Mus musculus: one gene and its partners. The main gene of each other region encodes a partner of the protein of the gene in region 2 in a complex. Links are inferred from orthologs where the notes say so. Each region holds a gene or a part of one and is shown on either strand. Other genes may lie near its edges.

Region 1 (4,277 bases), on a different chromosome or scaffold from region 2:
GAAAACACTCATCAGGGTCCTGGGGTTGAGCCAGGCGTCTATTGGGCAGCCTCTTCCCCACACCCACCTGGAAGGAACACATGAGGGTCTCATCCACACTCATCATGGCACCAGCATTGTCAAACTCTCCACAGTAGTTGGGAGCTGAGAAGAGTGTCACCAACTGTCTCTTGGCAAAGAACTCATAGCCATCTTCTACAACCTGGGCCAGGGCAGGAACGGTTTAGTCTGTAAGTTAGGCACCCCACCCCCACCCCCAGCCCGCCCCAGGCCACCAGCCCACCTGATGTGCTCTGCAGATGAGGTCCAAATCATGCTTGTGCAGGAACTTGGCTACCACCTCAGCCCCAAAGGTAAAGGAGACACCACGGTCATTCTCGCCCCAGCCTTGAACATCCTTGTCAGGGTCAGACCACAGGAGATCACACAGTAGGCCCTGGTCAGGCACGTCTGTGGGCCGCATAATACGCCTAATCTGCTCCATGGATTGCAAGTCTGGAGACAGGCCTGGGGGTGGTGGAGTGGGAATAGTGTTCCTTAAACCAAGTGCTGTCCTGTGCCCAGCTCTGGGGTGGGACAGCTCCACTGTTCCCACCGCTAATCTGGGCTCCTTAAGTTCAGGGAGACAGAATCCATTACTTCCCCACTGGCCCCATTTCTCTGTGGCCTTGGCTGTCCTGGAACTCACTTTATATGACACCACCACTTAGAAGTACAGATAGCAGACCTCGGGGGTGGGGGGGCAGAAGGAGATTAATGAGTTGACTACAGGATGCCTCATGCCACAACAGGAAAGAGTGCAACCAAACTGGTGGGTGGAGCATGCCTTTAATCCCATCACTTGGGAGTCAGAGATAGGCAGGAGCTCTAGTGAGTTCAAGGCCAACCAGGTCTACAAAGTGAGTTCCAGGACTGTCAGGGTTTTACCCAGAAAGCCAGTCTCAAAAACAAACGGGGGTGTGGTAATCTCCCCTAATAAGCGATATCCAAGATGAGATTCAAGGAGCGCTATTCCAGGGAACTGAGAAGAGTTCTGTTAACTTTACAAGGCCCCTAAGGATGTGGCCCAAGAACCCAAGCACAGACCCACAACCACTCTCACCCCCGTGGCAGCAGAAGATCTTCTCATCCACAATGGCTGCAATGGGCAGGCAGTTGAAGCAGTCAGTGAACGTCTTCCACAGTTTGATGTTGTATCTTCTCTTGCCTGCGCAAAAGGAAGCGGCTCATAGGGAAGACTACACCCCCAACCCCCAACCCCAGTCTAGGTTTCTGTGCACCCATCCAGGGACAAAGCTGAGAAAAAAAGACCGAAAAGCAAAGAAAGCTTACATTCTTCTCTTTGCTCTACCCTCATCTACCTTCCAGAATTCCAACACCTGAACTCGTCTGGCCCAACCATGATGGTGGTACCCACTCTGGTCCCATGGATGAGGCCAAACCAGGAGTGGGTCTGTTTTATTCATACAGGCATCCTAAATGTTTACTAAGGAATGTACTAGAAGGGGGTGTCATCAGGCAGGGCTGTGGCTTTAGCAAATGGGCAGCCCTGCATGTACATCCATTCACCAGGCCCCTCCTGAGCGCCAAGGACGACAGACGTGTTGCTGGGGCCCTACAGGGCTCATCATTGGGGGTCTTTTGGCACTAGACCAATGTAGGGGGCCCATGAAGAGCAGGGAATGTAGTTCTGGGCAGACAGCAACATTCAAAGCACTTACATTCATCATAGAAGCCATAAATGCGGTTGATGCTGGCACACTCATGGTTCCCACGAAGTAGAAAGAAATTCTCCGGGTATCTGATCTTATAGGCCAGCAACAGGCAGATGGTCTCCAAAGACTGCTTGCCCCGATCTACATAATCCCCCAAGAAGAGGTAGTTGCTCTCTGGAGGGAAGCCACCATACTCAAACAGCCGTAGAAGGTCATAGTACTGGCCATGGATGTCACCTGGGAACCAGAGAAAACTAGGTAGGTGCAAGATGTAAACTTGACCCCAGGGCCAGCAATAGGTTAAAGGGTGGAGGAACACGGTTAATGGGGCACGAGTAGGGGCTATTTTCAGGAAGCAAAAGGGTTCTGTGCAAGGATTTACCACAGATCTTGAGGGGCGCCTCAAGCTCCAGAAGAATGGGCTGGCTCAGGAAAATCTCCCGGGATTTGAGGCACAGACCACGGATCTCGTTCTCTGTCAGCTGCACGTTCTTCCCAGGCCGTGAGCCCTGCACTGAGTACGGAATAGGGTCTTGGGACCCTGACCTCGCAGACCGGACGAGGGTAGGTGTCGCGCCCCCCTAACAGGGGCAACTGTTGCAAGTGAGCCCCCACCCCCTCACCCCGAAACCTTTGCGTCAGGCCTTCAAAGGCAAGATCCGACCCCTTAGCCACCCGGAGGGCCTCCAGAGAAACGCCTGTGCTCAGCAGCCTGTCAGCCGAAGCTTCCTCGCTTCGGGATCCCTTCCCAGCTAGCTTCGCAGGAGCCTCACCCTGAGTCCCGGGCACTCGTGCACCCCCGGCCTCTGAGCGCGCTCCAAAGCCCAGGCGCCCGCGGGGGGGGGGGGTGCCGTGGCCATGGATCCTCACGGCCTGTCCCCGCCCAAGCGACGCTAGCCCCCGGGAGCGGCGGGCCGCCCGCGCGCCACTTCCAGACGGCGAGGGGCCCGGGCTCGGCGCGAGCGCACCTTCCCTACCCCTGCCCACCTTCCAGCAGGCGCCCGATGATGGAGTCCAGGTTGAGCTTCTCGCTGTCGGACATGGCGGCGCCGCCGCTCCGGCCCACCAGCTCCGGGCCCTCTCCTGCCTCCCGCCCTCTTACAGCCTCCTTCCGGCCTGGCTCTCCTTCCGCCCTCCCCAGCCCGCCCCCGGCCCGCCGCCCCTCCTCTTCGGTCGACCGCCCCGCCCCGCCCTGCCGCGTCCGTAGTTCCCCGCTCTCTAGCGCCTCCCCTGGACGGGAAGCTCCGCAGCCCGAGAGGGCCTCGGGCGAGCGGGCGGGGCTGGCAGGGGTGGTGAGCCGGGGTTCGGTAGGGCGGGGTTAGGTCGGCTCCACCCTGGAGGAATCGCCCTGCCGCGTTCAGATGAGTTAGGGCCGGAAGTACTGTAGGAATTGTTTTTCTCTTTCCAAGTCTCTCCCACCCCAGCCCTGCGTGGGACTGTGGTATGAGCATGTTAATCGCTGACTTCTCAAACACTAAATAAATTCCTCGAAGTGCAGAAAAAGAAACTAAGGCTTAATGATACTGAGAGTGGGCTCCAGACCTCCGGAGCCTCACATTCACCTCCATCTTTATGGCCAGACCCATGAACACCTGCTACTGAACTCTAAGCAGTGTTTTGGTCCAGGTTGCCTTGGTGCCTGCTACGTCCATTTTTTTTCCATAAGTGATGTAATACGTTGTATCTCGTTCATGTTGTAAGTCCTTTGTAGAGTACTTGGACTTGTCTAGCATGTGCAAGGCCTGAGGTTCCAGCTCCGGCTCTGGAAGGAACATTAAAGTAGGCTTGGTGTCGTAAACCTATAATTCCAGTGCCTGAAATTCCTGCACTCAGGAGTCTGGACACAGGAGGATCAGAAGTTCAGGGTCATCTCCTGTCTGGGCTACATAAGACCCTGTTCTCACACTACCCCTTCACTCTCAAAACAAAACAAAACAAAAAACCCGGGGCAGGGGGTTGGAGGGGTGGGATGACATTAAAGGATAATTATTATTGGAACCATAAATTGGTTTTACTTGGTAAAACTGAAGGTGGCCTGTCATCTTCAATTTGGGCCAGCCAGGGAATCAATACACCCAGCATCCTCTGGATGGGAGGAGGTCGTGGCTCTGGCACTAGGGCAAGCAGGAAGAACCTCACAGAGGAAGGGGGGAGTCCCCCCACCAGGGAGGGGCCCCCAGCAAGCTGCTGAGCTGAGACTGAGGAGGAAGTGAGAAGAAGAGGTGAGGTGCAGCAAGGAGGTGAGCCGGGCTGCTGGGGTAGGGGCCAGGCTTGGGGCTGGGGCTCTGCACAGAGACTTGGTCTCAGGGTCTACCCGACTCCCCAGCAAAAGAGGGGGCTTAGTCCCCTGTGACTGAGGACTGGTGGCTGGAATCCCCAGCCTGAGTCTGGCTGTTCACACTGGCTCTCTGTATGTCTTGCAGCCTGTGACACTGGGGTCCAGGGCAGAATGGCCCAGGCCCTGGGAGAGGACTTGTTATCAGAACTACAGGATGATTCTAGCTCCCTAGGGTCTGACTCAGAGCTGAGTGGGCCCAGTCCATATCGCCAGGCTGACCGTTA
Region 2 (3,539 bases):
AGCCCAACTGGTAACATTAAGAGAACAGGCTCTTGCCTCCCTACCTCCTGCCCGTCCCTCCCCCAAAAAACCCTTTATGGACAAAGACAGATGTCACTGAGTTGTATACATTCTGGTAGTCTAGATGGCTTAAGCTTTACCAGAATCTACAACATTCATTAGAACCCAAAGGGCTGTTCTTAAAGCTCTAACTGCCCAAGGATCGTCAGCTATTCTGTGGGCTATATTAAATCTGCCCCCTAGTGGCTACTAAGTATTTATTCAATCTGTCAGTTTTAATGTTTGATGCCAATGGTGAGCATTTTAATTATCCAAGGACTATTCACTAGCAGTGACTGAATGAAGTAGGCCTGGCTACCATCAATTACTAATCCTTAGATAGACAGATCCGGCTGGATCTTGGGGCATGAGACTGAAGCAGGAGGATTGCAAGCTTAAGGCCTGCCAATGCTTATTTAGAGGTCTCAAAAGGGGAGGGGGGCTGGTAGTGTTAAGAGTTTAAGAGTGTATATGTAAGGTGCCTAGGTTCAACTCTTAGGACCACCAAAGAAATTAAAATCCAATCAGTTTTTGTATTGACACTGCCATATTATTTGCTCTGATCTTTTTAAAAGTTGATGTAGGCCGGGCGTGGTGGCGCATGCCTTTAATCCCAGCACTCAGGAGGCATAGGCAGGTGGATTTCTGAAGCCAGCCTGGTCTACAAAGTGAGTTCCAGGTCAGCCGGGGCTATACAAAGAAACCCTGTCTCAAAAACCAAACCAAACCAAACCAAAAAAATTGACGTGGACTGGGCATAGTAGAGCACACCTTTAGCCTCAGCACTTGGGAGGCAGAGGCAAGTAGATCTCTGAGTTCAAGGTTAGCCTGGTCTACATGGAGAGTTAGTTCCAGGACAGCCTGAGATAGGTATCACCAGAAAGTAGAACATTTTAAGTATTAAGCCCTTACAGGATTTTTGGTTTGCCTCTTCTTTCCCCCTTGTTTTAGGATTACTCTTGGAAACCAACTGGATGGGATACACCTACTAGACCCAGATGTGGTTGCCAGGTTTAAGCAAAGGTATCCGGACGGCATCATCTCTAAACCTAAGAATTTATAGACGCACTTCCTTACAAAGCTAAGCGTTCAGAGCCATGGGCTACAGGCCACACCTTAAGAGGACTGTTTACGCAATAGTGTCCCCTACCCTGTATATAAATAAATAAAAGTTTGTATTATAATTGGAATTTCTGAAGTGAAATTATGGCTTTCCACTTAGTGTGTGTCCTTGTGCTACTCTTATTTAGCGTGATTCATTATAAGTAAAAGAAGAATGTTAGCTACCTAGCGTGTTAGAAAAGACTACACAGGTTCACAGTGCTTAGCAATTAATATGCTATAAACAGGATTAATTTGAATTTTACCATGCATATGGTACTCTAAACTTTTGCTTATTCTATGTACGTTTGCTGGTTTATTAGTCTGTAGCTAATTTCTAAGAAAAACAAGGTACCTTCAATTAAAATTAGAGCTTAGAATATAAAAAATTGGCCTATGCATTATGTAAATGAATGCACATTTAAAAGATGTTTCATCAAACACAGATTCTTTACTTTGTAAAACCTCTTATTAGGGGTATAGAGTTCTGCTTCTTACATGCAAAACTGGTAACCAAGTCAGGTAAAGAAATACTTGTACAGAAAAAGATCGTTTTGGATGATGTCGTTTCCCCTCTAGCCCAATGTGCTAAGACTGAGACAAACAGAATTTGTGTGTTTTTGTCAGGAGCAGGGAGGGGGACCTTAAGATAGGATCTCACTAGGTAATCCTGGCTAACTTCAAGCTCAGAGATCCAACCTGCCTCTTGCCTCCTAAGTTGTAGGATTAAAGGGGAGTGCCACCACACCCGGTCTATTTTTTGAGACAAAGTCTGATTTAAGTTCAGATCAAAAATCTTCCTGTCTACTTCCAAAGTATTAGGATTAAAGGCACGGGCCACCATGTTCTGTAAAACCTTTACCTCATGCATCTTAGACTGTTCTCAAACTCACTAGTGGGCCAAGGATGACCTTGAACTCCTGATCTTCCAGCCTGGGGTCTGAACTCAGAGCTTTATAGTGCTAAGCCATAACCCCAGGCCTTCAAACCTTCCTCCTAATAGCACTGTGTATATCAATAATAGTTCCCTTTTAAAGGGCTATCACACATTTTATTTTAAATCAGTATTTTCATTCCTCCTTCACTTGGGATTTAAACCCAGTGCACTTTACCACTGAGCTGAAACCCTAAGTCTCTCTTCTCCCAGAGCTTTTTCTGCCGAGAACAAAGCAAAGCACTCGCCCAATGACATTCTAGGCAAGTTGTCTGACCGTTTTACTGGTATGTTTCTTCTAATGACCCCTATGATTTGCTCCCATCACTCTTCCCTGTGCTTGCTAGTAAGCTGGTAATTTTGCTTACAGTTGAGAGTAAAAAGCAATTCTAAATTACAGTGAATTTGCTGGCCCTGCTACATAGTCTGGCCTCTGCTGAAGAAAGAAAAGGGAGATGGAGGCATGAAGGACTATGGGTAAAGGTCAGGCACTACAGAAGCCCAGTTTGTGTTTAAAAAACAGGCTTTTGGCCGGGCGGTGGTGGCGCACGCCTTTAATCCCAGCACTTGGGAGGCAGAGCAGGTGGATTTCTGAGTTCGAGGCCAGCCTGGTCTACAAAATGAGTTCCAGGACAGCCAGGGCTACATAGAGAAACCCTGTCTGGAAAACCAACAAAACAAAACAAAAAAACAGGCTTTTGGACTCGTGTTCAGCAGATGAATCTTCAAGGCTTGGAGAAGACGAAGGCTACTTCACAAACACCACAGAGTTTGGATTTCTAGAGGCCACCCAGGCCAAGAATACATCCCTAAGAGAGAAAGATACATACAAACTTATTATAGCAAAACCATACCCAAATATTTCCCTACATCTCCAAAGTATAACATCATCAAGTAGCCTAAAAGTCAGATGTGGTAGACTGTGCCAATCCACCTCGTAGAGGACACATATGCCCTTTCACGGATATAGGTAATTCCCTGGGATATTTTGGTAGAAGGGCAAAGTTTTCACTTACTACTCACCTTCTCTACACTTAGCATTTACTCTGCTACTTTCCCCCTTACCTATCCCTCACCAAATTCTTTGACACTGGTAATTGAAATCAGGACCTTACCCATGCCAGGCAAGCAGTTGTCAGTTGAGCTACATCCTCATCTCTAAGCAATTGAACATCTAGGAGCATCTCTAATCAGATACCTACCCACCCACACATGTCAAGTGGCTCTGCCTAATAAGGTCATGCTCAGTCCACACGGGTACGGGTACCATGCTCCCCAACAGTTTCACTTCACTACCTCTTGATTTATAAGGACTGTTAAACTCACCTGCAGTGCTTCACCACACACTCATTGCTGCAGTACTCGTTGTCCCAGTCCTTACTGACAACAGGAGGGTTCTCACAACCAGACCTCACACATCGAGGCTGAGGTGACAGTGCCACAGGGGAGCCACTCACCAATTCAA
Region 3 (4,140 bases), on a different chromosome or scaffold from region 2:
TGAAGCTAAACTGAATGATGTCTCTCGAGAAATTTATTAGGAGAATGTTGGAAGTTAGAGTAAATGGCTATTTAAAGTCTAAAGCAAGGCCACCTTAGAAGGCTCAGAAGGTAAAAGCATGTGTGCACGCACTCACAGACACACACACACACTAGTTTTTAAAGAGGCCTAAAATAGTTCCAGATCCTTTGCCTACATTTGATGTCTCCACAATTGCGATGTTGTAGTCAGCCAGTCTGCAGGATCTTTATTGTAGATGCTCTTCAGAAAACTTCAGTTCCCACAGCAAGTCGGGCACATGGCACCAGATCTGTCCTTGCTATCTCAAGCTCCATAGCAGCCTGGATCACCTGGATCACCTAAACTCAAAGGCAATCACTGGGGATTGAGTGCAACCACCTGTGGAAGGTTTTTCTAGAACAGATTTGCAATTTGGAAAGTTGCCATCCATTCAGGTTTCACTCAAACTGGTTCCTTCCCTTCCTCACACCCCGGAACAGATTGTAGCCAGGAACTCTGCCCTTTGTCAGGAGACAACTGCAGTACAAACTTACAATCTTGTCGTTTTCCCTCAGCCAACCACTTCCAGTTCTATCTAGCTACCTTTTTTCTTTAACCTAAGAACCTGAGATGCAACCCCCCCGCACATTTTTCAAGAAGGCTCCATTTTTTTCTCGTGTTCCATTTCGTCGTTTGTCAACCCAGGTTATAAGGGACTCTGGTTGTCATGCCTTTGCAATCACCTGCCAGTGAGTGAAATGTCCCTTCCTAAGGTTCCCCCTCCTCCCGCACTAGAAGTTAGGGATCTTCATGCGCTTCGACTCTCATTAAATTTTAAAAGAAGTTCCAAGCTTCTGAAGTTTAATATAAACCCAGTTGAAAATGCCACTTAAAACTTCGTGCAAGTGTATGTTGTACATCACTCAACTAACAAATCGAAGCCTCCTGGCTCGGCCGTGCAGTGGTTAAGTCAGTCGGTGATGGGTTCACCTGATTCACACCCACACACGAGCAGGCCTCTCCGCCAGGTCCTGCGGCCTCAGAGACACCAGCGTCTCCCCGGGGCTTGAGAGCACCCACAAAGGCACTAGCCCCGAGGCGACCTCAAGTCCTGCCCTCGAGAGAGAGGGTTTAGATGCTCCACGCCCGCAGGTTCACACCCCAGAACCGCGGGCTCCAGCTCCGGGGCCTCAGCAACGGGAGGCCGCCCCGCTGACGTCATCGTCCCGCCCCCCCTCCCCCAGCTCGCGCCTCCGTTCCCTCCCCGCCCCCTTTCCCGGCGTCCGCCGCGACACAAGCTCCTCGCCCTCTGATTTTGCTTCTCCCTTCAAGATGGCGGACACAATGAGCCGGCGGAGCGCCGGTTGGCCCTGAATTGACTCCGGAGAAGAACGGTCAGCGAGGTCCCGTCGTCCGGGCGAGAGAGCGTCGCCTGAGGAAGAGGACGCGGCAGCCCCACTGTCAGCCGTCCTTCGGTTCGTCTCCAGCGCGGCGCCCGCACCGCCGGGGTTGGCCCTGAGCAGCCCGCCCGATCGCTCGCCTCTCGGCCCCGCCCCGGCCCTGCGCCGCCGCTGCCTTCAGCAGCAGCAGCCGCCGCCGCCATGAAGCTGACCGACAGCGTGCTCCGGAGCTTCCGCGTCGCCAAGGTGTTCCGCGAGAACTCAGACAAGATCAACTGCTTTGACTTTAGTCCCAATGGCGAGACGGTCATCTCTAGCAGCGATGATGACTCCATCGTGCTCTATGACTGCCAGGAGGGCAAGTGAGTGTGATAGTGGCCGAGTTCCAAGTGCCCCTCTCCTTCCCTCTGTCGCTGGTCCCCGACTGAGCCCCCACCCCCAACCCCAGGCATGTGGTGCAGGCGCTCTTGCCAGGGCCACCTCCATCCCGCAGTGCTGCAGGAGATCCTCTTTAAGATGATGATGGTTCTTAGTTCATGTGTCTTTGCTCTCTTCCGAGCGCGCTTTTCCCGCTTGCCAAACCCCACCTTGACCTTGACCTTTAAACGCCATGTCCCTGCACCCTGCAGCCGGACGGATAGCCCTTTCCACTCCCCTGGCGACTGTCAGAATGTGCGGGTGGACTCTGAGCTCGATGCAGAACGGCAGGAGCTGTGTTCTGTCCATCAGTGGCGTCCAGCTCTCTGCCTTCACAGCAGTGACCTGGATTCAGCCCTGGCACGGTGCCCGCCCCCTACCCCTCAGCTTCCCGCGCGGCTTTTCTGCAATCAAGCCCCGCGGGATGCAGTTTTTAAGCTGTCAGGATTTATCGATTGTGCCCATGTGAGCTTGCTGTCCTTTCCCAGTACCAATACCCAGGCTTACAGTTAACTTACTAAACAGACTCTTGGAAACTTTTCTTTGCCAGACTCCTGAGAACTTGGCCGCCCCATTCTGGTCAGAATGTGAGCTCTCTTTAAAACAAAGAAAGCATTCCGGAACAATTTAGTGTTTCCTTTTGCATTACAAAAAAAACCCAAGTTTGGCCGCTTAGCCAGTAATCTCAGCATTTGGGCGATAGAGGCAGTCAGACCCTGAGTTCTGGACTTCATAGCAGAGAGACCCTGACTCAAAACAGTTAAAAAACAAAAAACAATAACCGCCAGATTGTGGTTTGCTTATAGTTATCAAAGTTTTGGAATTCTGGAACTGGTTATGGAAATTATGTTAGTTGGAGAACTTGTGTATCTTTGCCGTTTTCATAGCCTGGGTGTGAGGAAGACATTGCCTGTCTCATCTCTGGAAGTTCAAATCCTCGATAAGTAAGCAGTGACCTCTTTTGTAGCAGAAACTAGTTTAGGCTAAATTTGATTCCCTTTGTCAACTTCAGCTTCCTTCCTAAGCAGGAGGTGTTTAGTTTAATAGCTACTGTTTTCGACATTATGTTAAAGTTACCTGTTTTTGAATCCTTGGCTTTTTCTCTCCTTTTTGCAGCTGTTCTCTTTGTTTATTATTTTTTTCAAATAATAGTTTTCTTTTGGAACTTGTCTCTGAGTTTATCTAAAGTAAAGCTATTGTAGAATGAGCTGTATATGATATTGTCCTTGATGGGTTTCCTCGCTGGAGCTCCAACAAAGTATTACGTAACTGTCGTTGGACTTGAGCTTGCTGTATGTGGGAGAGTTTCCTACAGTGGTGATCCTGGGGAAGAGAAAATTACTAACTGGACAAATAGTTATTTGAATTGATGTTCATATTTGTGTATTGATTATTATCATACACTGGTCTGACTATTTGATTCTGTTTGGAACTACAAGTAATTTGAAATTGGTTTGTCTGACATGTTTGGTGCAATACATAGCTTAGAATCTCCCCCCCAAATCTGTAATGGAAATGCATATCCTATTCAAAGGAATAAAACACTAAGACTGAAAAAAATGTTTATTCAGGCATGTAACCTTTTTACATGATTACAAACTTACAGAAAGTTACAATGCTCCAAAGAACTTTCTTGAAAAAAGAACGTGTCCAGCAGTGCCTATAATTTCAGCGCTTGGGAGCTGGGGGTGCGAATCCAAGGCAGCTTGAACAGCTGTCCCAAAAAGGAAATGTAAGGGCTGGAGATGGCTACAGGCACTTGCTCTTAGAGAGGAACAAGTGGACTCCTACACCTTGTAACCATCTGTAACTAGTTCCAGGGGATTTGACCCCTAATTCTGATTTCTTGAGAGATGGCTCAGCTGTTAAGAGCACCTCTTCCACAGGTCCTGAGTTCAATTCCCAGCAACCACATGGTGGCTCACAACCATCTATAATGGGATCCAATGCCCTCTTCTGGTGTGTCTGAAGTCAGCTACAAGGGTACTCCTATAAATAACATAAAGAAGTCTTCATAAAGAGAGAAGTTTGTGGGGGGAAAAAAGTCCAGGAGCTAGAGAGATGGCTAACATGTGGTTAAGAGCGCATGTTAATTTTGCAGAGAACCTAGGTTAATCAGCAGCACCCACGTGGAGGCTCACAATTACATTTAACTCCAGTTGCAGGGGATCTGATGTTCTCTTCTGGATTCCATGTGCATCAGACCTGCATAGGGTGCCCATATATACAAGCAAGCAGACAAAATGCTCATATACATAAAATCAGTAAATGTAAAAATATATATGTATAGAAGAATAATCCAATAATTCCAACAGTAGAAGAA

What was found.
Region 1: Tox4 (region 2) and Ppp1ca share a complex: the UniProt entries of both Homo sapiens proteins name them as parts of the PNUTS-PP1 phosphatase complex. The link is inferred for Mus musculus from reciprocal best matches to the Homo sapiens genes TOX4 and PPP1CA.
Region 3: Tox4 (region 2) and Wdr82 share a complex: the UniProt entries of both Homo sapiens proteins name them as parts of the PNUTS-PP1 phosphatase complex. The link is inferred for Mus musculus from reciprocal best matches to the Homo sapiens genes TOX4 and WDR82.

What each region holds. Positions count from the first base shown.
Region 1 is NC_000085.6:4,190,697-4,194,973, reverse strand, and holds the start of Ppp1ca (serine/threonine-protein phosphatase PP1-alpha catalytic subunit), read right to left. Parts: upstream 2,801-4,277; 5' UTR 2,758-2,800; coding exon 2,703-2,757; intron 2,230-2,702; coding exon 2,098-2,229; intron 1,953-2,097; coding exon 1,722-1,952; intron 1,208-1,721; coding exon 1,103-1,207; intron 508-1,102; coding exon 284-507; intron 203-283; coding exon 68-202; intron 1-67. Other genes in the region: Tbc1d10c (carabin), read left to right, coding at 4,165-4,277. UniProt on the Homo sapiens protein: Protein phosphatase that associates with over 200 regulatory proteins to form highly specific holoenzymes which dephosphorylate hundreds of biological targets.
Region 2 is NC_000080.6:52,292,545-52,296,083, reverse strand, and holds the end of Tox4 (TOX high mobility group box family member 4), read right to left. Parts: coding exon 3,401-3,539; intron 2,884-3,400; coding exon 2,823-2,883; 3' UTR 1,103-2,822; coding exon of another isoform or gene 991-1,102; 3' UTR 575-990; downstream 1-574. Other genes in the region: N6-adenosine-methyltransferase subunit METTL3, read left to right, coding at 1-10, 991-1,102. UniProt on the Homo sapiens protein: Transcription factor that modulates cell fate reprogramming from the somatic state to the pluripotent and neuronal fate. In liver, controls the expression of hormone-regulated gluconeogenic genes such as G6PC1 and PCK1.
Region 3 is NC_000075.6:106,169,618-106,173,757, forward strand, and holds the start of Wdr82 (WD repeat-containing protein 82), read left to right. Parts: upstream 1-1,311; 5' UTR 1,312-1,601; coding exon 1,602-1,762; intron 1,763-4,140. UniProt on the Homo sapiens protein: Regulatory component of the SET1/COMPASS complex implicated in the tethering of this complex to transcriptional start sites of active genes.